Macaca fascicularis: one gene and its partner. The main gene of each other region encodes a partner of the protein of the gene in region 2 in a complex. Links are inferred from orthologs where the notes say so. Each region holds a gene or a part of one and is shown on either strand. Other genes may lie near its edges.

Region 1 (4,483 bases), on a different chromosome or scaffold from region 2:
ATGTGAGCCACCATGCCCAGCCTAACCTTTCATTTTAAAGTATTAAAGAGCTTAGGCCTGTTAGTCCAAGATTTGAACACCTGTTGGCCACATGATCTTGGCCAATACACTTAACTTCTTCTAAGCTTCAGCTTCTGTAAAAAGCACCCACTGGCCGGGGGCAGTGGCTCACGCCTACAATCCCAGCACTTTCGGTGGCTGAGGCAGGCAGATCACCTGAGGTCAGGAGTTTGAGACCAGCCTGACCAACATGGAGAAACCTCATCTCTACTAAAAATACAAAAATTAGCTGAGCGTGGTGGCGCATGCCTATAGTCCCAGCTACCTGGGAGGCTGAGGCAGGAGAATCACTTGAACCCAGAGGCGGAGGTTGTAGTGAGCCAAGATTGTGCCACTGCACTCCAGTCTGGCGACAGAGCTAAACTCCATCTTAAAAAAAAAAAAAAAAGGAAAGCACCCACCTTTTAGTCATTGTGAGTCTCTGCACTTCACCTGGCCCACAGTCACTACTCAATCAACACAGGCTTTTATTGTTATGACTATTAATGTTGACTCTTGCCCTCTGAGTTGGGCAGGGAAGATTACCATACAATTTGAAAGTGCAGCACAAGAAGTAAAGTGATGGCTAGGCGTGGTAGCTCACACCTGTAATCCTAGCGCTTTGGGAGGCCGAGGAAGGCAGATTGAGCTCAGGAGTTCGAGATCAGCCTGGGCAACATGGCAAAACCCTATCTCTACTAAAAAAATACAAAAACTTAGCCGGCAATGGTGGCACCTGCCTTTAGTCCCAACTACTTGGGAGGCCGAGGCAAGAGACTCACTGGAACCCAGAAGGCAGAGGTTTCAGTGAGCCAAGATGGCACCACTGCACTCCAGCCTGGGCGACAGAGCAACACTCCGTCTCAAAAAAAAAAAAAGAAGTAAAGTGACTTAGCTGAAGGCACAGTTATGAAGTGGAGCCAGGACCCAACCCAGATCTACTGAGAGACTACCCCAATGCCTCCCCTACGTATGGTCTCACCTTGTTGACCTGAGTTACAACAGCATCCACGACCTCCCCTTTAAAGGGCCGGAAAACAATGGCCTTGTACTTAACTGGATAAAGGACAAAGCCTCGGCCTGGCTGGATCACACCAGCACCAATATTGTCAATGGTGGTGACAGCAATTACAAAGCCATACCTGCAAGGAGGATGAGAAACAGAAAGACATTGTGTGTCCAAGAGCCTCTAGAGACATCTGCAATAAAAGTCACTGAGCTCTTGGGAGTAGTGTCGGGGAGAGCAAAAGGACAAGTAGATAGCACCTCTGCTCCCAGAGAGCTTAATGACCAAGAGAAGACAGAACACAGATCAGTATGGGCTGGGCGCGGTGGCTCAAGCCTGTAATCCCAGCACTTTGGGAGGCCGAGACGGGCGGATCACGACGTCAGGAGATCGAGACCATCCTGGCTAACCCGGTGAAACCCCGTCTCTACTAAAAAATACAAAAAACTAGCCAGGCGAGGTGGCAGGCGCCTGTAGTCCCAGCTACTCGGGAAGCTGAGGCAGGAGAATGGCCTGAACCCGGGAGGCGGAGCTTGCGGTGAGCTGAGATCAGGCCACTGCACTCCAGCCTGGGCCACAGAGCGAGACTCCGTCTCAAAAAAAAAAAAAAAAAAAAAAGAACACAGATCAGTATGTATAAGACCAAATGCTGTTCTGGTAATTTCACAGTAAATGTACAAGAAGGCTGGAGTCCTTGAGGAAACAGATCTCAATCTTCGGGATGCCTGAGAATCATCTTCTTAAAATGCAGATTCTCAGGTCTGCCTCACAGAGTCTTGATTCTGTAGGGAATAAGGAGGCTCAGGAATCTGCATGTTCCTGCAGGTTTTTCTGATGCTGGAGGCCCAAGTACTCCACTGCCCTGGGCTGGGTCCCAGCTCATTAATATCACAGAAGGCCCTCAGTGCAAAGCCCAGAGATGGTCAAGTCCCAGTCTACTTCCTTCCTCCCCCAAACTTTCGATCCACTTTTTCTGGTCATCCATTCAGAAGATATATAGAGGCCCACGGTGTGTGGTCCCTGGACACAGGGGATAAGAGAAAACCAGCAGAATGACAGAGTGAGAGGAGACACAGGAACAATGACTACACTGTGAGCTCCACAAGAGCTGGCCTCATTCTATCTTGTTCCCATTCTACCTTGTTCTGAGCCCAACACGGGTCCTGGCACACACCAAGTGTTTTTAAAATGTCTGAGGAGTAAATGAATGAATGACCAATCTCAGCTGAGGGAAGGAAGTCTTATTGTCCAGCATTGCAGAGGGCGCCCTGGGAACCCAAAGCAGGAAGCAACTGGCTGCCTGAGAGGGTGAGCGGGGTCCCTAGAGTGGGTGGCAGGACTAAATAGGAGTTGCGGAGGGTTTGCAGGTATAGCGACCCGTGTGCGCATCGAACGATCTGGCGGCACGGTGAGCTCGGCACTCACTTCCCTGTGCAGGTCCCCTCCACTTCGGTGAAGAGCTTCTGCTTCACCGTGTTGAGCAAGTTGGGGCCGAAGTAGCGCGGGTGCAGCAGGATTTCGTGCTCTAGGGAGATCTGCGGAGAAAAGAGGGATGGCGACCAGGCCACGCGCTGGGAGCTTATCAGACGACAAGGGGAGCCTCGCGCCGGCGCCTGGCCTTGCTCCTCCTTTCCACCCAGCCCTTGCCGCCACCCTGGGCCCTGCTCACATGGTAGAACATCTTCCCAGAGCATGAAGGCAGGAACAGTCCACACCTCCGACCGCCCCTGGGAATCTACCGGAAACACACTTAGCCGCCGCAACCCCAGTTCCGCGCCTGCTGCGTCGTTGAGAGCGGAACTCCACCTCCTCAGCGAGGGCGGAACTCCACCTGCTCCACGGGTCTGATTGGGCCTTGTAGCCGTGGGCGTGAACCACTAAGCCCCGCCCCTCACCACCGCCCCGCCCCCCCACCGGCCATCAAACCACAACTCTCTTTTTTTTGTTTTGAGACGGATCTGGCTCCGTCTCCCAGGCTGGAGTGCAGTGGCGCGATCTCGGCTCACTGCAAGCTCCGCCTCCCGGGTTCGGGCCATTCTCCTGCCTCAGCCTCCCCAGTAGTTGGGACTACAGGCGCCCACCACCGCGCCCGGCTAATTTTTTGTATTTTTAGTAGTGACGGGGTTTCACCGGGTTAGCCAGGCTGGTCTTGATATCCTGACCTTGTGATCCGCCCTCCTCAGCCTCCCAAAGTGCTGGAATTACAGGCGTGAGTCACAGCGCCCGGCCAATTTTGTGTTTTTAGTAGAGATGGGGTTTCTCCATGTTGGTCAGGCTAGTCTCAAACTCCCAACCTTAGGTGATCCACCCACCTCGGCCTCCAAAAGTGCTGGAATTACAGGCGTGAGCCACTGTGCCCGGCCAGCAACTCTCTGAATTGCTTGAACCTGGGAGGCCACTGCACTCCAGCCTGGGCAACAAAAGCGAAACTCCATCACAAAAAATAATAATAAATAATAGCTACCACTTACTGCTTTCTTCCTAAATGCCAGACACTGTGTTAAGCCCTTTATATAATTATCTCCCTTAATTCTCATAATAATCTACAGAAATTGGTGTAGAAATAACAAAAAATTTACATGAGCCTTAGTCGAAAGGCCAGGAAACTACAGAAAATAATGAAATTTAGGCTGAGCGCAGTGGTTTACGCCTGTAATCCCAGCACTTTGGAAGGCGGAGGCGGGCAGATCATGGGGTCAGGAGATTGAGACCATCCTTGCTAACACGGCGAAACCTCGACTCTACTAAAAATACAAAAAATTAGCCGGGCGTGGTGGCATGTGCCTGTAGTCCCAGCTACTCAGGAGGCTGAGGCAGGAAAATCGCTTGAACCCGGGGGGCGGAGGCTGCGGTGAGCTGAGATCGCGCCACTGCACTCCAGCCTGGCAACAGAGCAACACTAAGAAAGAACGAAAGAAAGAGAGAGAGAGAAAGAAAAAATTTAAAAGCTATTGCAATCCCAAAAAATATTTTAAGCCTCGAGAGAGATATGACTGTGAGTCACATATAGTTTACAACTTCTGTTCTCAGATTATAGATTAATTCACTTTCTTTTTTTTGAGAGGGAGTCTCGCTGTGTCACCCAGGCTGGAGTGCAGGAAATCCATGACTATTTCATCCTCTGTTAAAAAAATGTTACATACCCCCGGCACCATGGCTCACGACTGTAATCCCGGCTACTTGGGAGACTGGGGCAGGAGAATTGCTTGAACCCGGGAGGCAGAGGTTGCAGTGAGCCGAGATCGTGCCACTGCACTCCAGTCTGGGAGACAGAGCAAGATTCCCTCTCAAAAAAAAAAAAAGTTACATGTGAATCACAAGGTCAGAAGTTCAAGACCAGCCTGGCCAACATAGTGAAACCCCATCTCTACTAAAAATACAAAAAATTGGGGCCGGGCGCGGTGGCTCAAGCCTGTAATCCCAGCACTTTGGGAGGCC
Region 2 (2,720 bases):
TCTGACGACGAGGCCTTCGAGGACAGCGACGATGGGGACTTCGAGGGCCAGGAGGTGGACTACATGTCGGATGGCTCCAGGTGAGGCCGACGCGAGGCGGCTGCGAGACCCCGTGCGGCCTTGCGGGCGCGCACTCACCCTCTGCCGCCCCTGTCTCACAGCAGCTCCCAGGACGAGCCTGAGAGCAAGGCCAAGCCGCCCCAGCAGGAGGAGGGGCCCAAGGGTAGGCGGCGGCTGGGCGGGCCCCGGGGAGATGCGGGGGGAGATGCGGGCAGTGCGTCTCTGCTCTTGCTCATACCCTGTCCCCCCAGGTGTTGATGAGCAGAGTGACAGTAGCGAGGAGAGTGAGGAGGAGAAGCCACCCGAGGAGGACAAGGAGGAGGAGGAGGAGAAGAAGGCGCCCACCCCGCAGGAGAAGAAGCGCAGGAAAGGTGCGGCCGGTGTGGCCCATGTTGGAGGCTCGGGTCAGGGCCTGGTGCTCTGCTGCCTCCTCCCCTCTCCCCTGCAGGCCTCCCTCATCTGCAGTGGAGGTACCGGTGGATGCCGGGTCCCAGGGTTGCTCTGGCCCTGACCCCTTTCCTGTGCCCCGCAGACAGCAGCGAGGAGTCGGACAGCTCAGAGGAGAGCGACATTGACAGCGAGGCCTCCTCGGCCCTCTTCATGGCGGTAAGGCCCAGCCCGGTGACAGGGGAGGCCTGGGCGTCTGTTTCCAGACTCACACCCCTCACCCCACCCTGACCTCCGCAGAAGAAGAAGACGCCACCCAAGAGAGAGCGGAAGCCGTCGGGAGGGAGCTCGAGGGGCAACAGCCGCCCAGGCACGCCCAGCGCAGAGGGCGGCAGCACCTCCTCCACCCTGCGGGCGGCTGCCAGCAAGCTCGAGCAAGGTGAGCGCCTGTGGCCTCCCCACTCCCACAGCCACGGCCTCCCGACCTCTGTTGGGGCTTAAGACAGAGAGGAGATGGAGATGGGGGTGGAGGCCTGTCTGTCCCCAATCCCCCTGAACCCTCATCCTGGCACTGCCCAGCCTGGGGTCCTGCTCAGGGATTCGGCCTCCTGCCCCCAAGACTCAGCCCTGACCCCACTCCCACAGGGAAGCGGGTGAGCGAGATGCCTGCAGCCAAGCGGTTGCGGCTGGACGCGGGGCCCCAGAGCCTGTCCGGGAAGTCGACCCCCCAGCCGCCATCGGGCAAGTCAACACCCAGTAGCGGGTAAGCTGATGAGGACGGCAGGGGGCAGGGCAAGCGCTACCGGGGACAAGCTCACTGATGCCACCTTCCCCGCCCTCCCATCCTCAGCGACGTGCAGGTGACTGAGGATGCCGTGCGCCGCTACCTGACACGGAAGCCCATGACCACTAAGGACCTGCTGAAAAAGTTCCAGACCAAGAAGACAGGGCTGAGCAGCGAGCAGACGGTGAACGTGCTGGCCCAGATCCTCAAGCGCCTCAACCCCGAGCGCAAGATGGTCAACGACAAAATGCACTTCTCCCTCAAGGAGTGAGGCGCCGTCCGGCACACGGCCCTGCCCCCGAACTCAGCCTCTCACTGCCCCTTCGCCATCCTAGAGTGAGGCGCTGTCCGGCACACAGCCCTGCCCCCAGAACTCAGGCTCTCACTGCCCCTTCACTATCCTGCTCCCTGACTCCCAGGGCCCCATAGTTAGCAATTCTGGAAAGGTTAAGCCATCTCCTCCTCTGGCTCCTCCTGGAATCTTCAGATGCCTGTTAGACCTTCTTACTGTCCTCCTTCTCCTGGCTCAGCCTCCCTCACACTGACCAAGGGCCCGTGCTCCCCACTTCCACAGTTCTCCCTTCCACTCCCCTAGTTCTCTCTATAGCCATGACTTGTCCACCGCACAGCCCAGGAAGTCTTCAGTTTGGGCTGGGTGTGATGATACGCGCCTGCAGTCCCCGCTACCTGGGATTCTTAGCCCGGTTCAAGGCTGCAGTGAACTTTGATGGTGCCGCTGCACTCCAGCCCGGGTGACAGAATGAGATCCTGGCACACACACACACGAAAAAGTAGCCAGACATAGTGGCAGGCACCTGTGATCCCAGCTACTCTGTAGGCTGAAGCACGAGAATCACTTGAACCTGGGAGGTGGAGGTTGCTGTGAGCCGAGACCACGCCACTGCACTCCAACCTGGATAACAGAGTGAGACTCTGTCTCAGTAAATAAAAAAATAAATTGCTGAGATTTGTTTCCTTTTTAGATCTGCTATTCTGCTAGGGATAAATGTCTTGTTCCTTATGTTTTGGTCCCAACTTTCATGGTTTTATTTTTATTTTTTAGTTTTTGAGACAGGGTCTTGCTCTGTTGCCCAGGCTGGACTGCAGTGTCCACTGTCTCAGCTCCCTGCACCCTCCACCTCCCGGGCTTAAGCCATCCTCCCCGCTTAGCCTTTCAAGTAGTGCACACCACCACGCCCAGCTAAGTTTTTAATTTTTTGTAGAGGTGAGGTCTCACTGTATTGCCCTGGCGAGCCTTGAACTCATGGCTCAGCCAGGCATGTACGATTATGCCTGGCTAATGTGTTTTTGTTTTGTTTTGTTTGAGACAGAGTTTCACTCTTGTTGCTCAGGCTGGAGTACATGGTGCAATCTCGGCTTACCACAACCTCCAGTTCCCTGGCTCATGCAATTCTGCCTCAGCCTCCCGAGTAGCTGGGATTACAGGCACCCGCCACCACGCCCGGCTAATTTTTGTATTTTTAGTAGA

The links.
Region 1: GTF2F1 (region 2) and POLR2G share a complex: the UniProt entries of both Homo sapiens proteins name them as parts of the TBP-based Pol II pre-initiation complex. The link is inferred for Macaca fascicularis from reciprocal best matches to the Homo sapiens genes GTF2F1 and POLR2G.

The regions. Positions count from the first base shown.
Region 1 is NC_088388.1:11,291,811-11,296,293, forward strand, and holds the start of POLR2G (DNA-directed RNA polymerase II subunit RPB7), read right to left. Parts: upstream 2,825-4,483; 5' UTR 2,740-2,824; coding exon 2,471-2,739; intron 1,182-2,470; coding exon 1,022-1,181; intron 1-1,021. UniProt on the Homo sapiens protein: Core component of RNA polymerase II (Pol II), a DNA-dependent RNA polymerase which synthesizes mRNA precursors and many functional non-coding RNAs using the four ribonucleoside triphosphates as substrates.
Region 2 is NC_088393.1:7,158,757-7,161,476, reverse strand, and holds the end of GTF2F1 (general transcription factor IIF subunit 1), read left to right. Parts: coding exon 1-80; intron 81-161; coding exon 162-223; intron 224-311; coding exon 312-431; intron 432-592; coding exon 593-666; intron 667-747; coding exon 748-886; intron 887-1,092; coding exon 1,093-1,210; intron 1,211-1,297; coding exon 1,298-1,502; 3' UTR 1,503-2,196; downstream 2,197-2,720. UniProt on the Homo sapiens protein: TFIIF is a general transcription initiation factor that binds to RNA polymerase II and helps to recruit it to the initiation complex in collaboration with TFIIB. It promotes transcription elongation.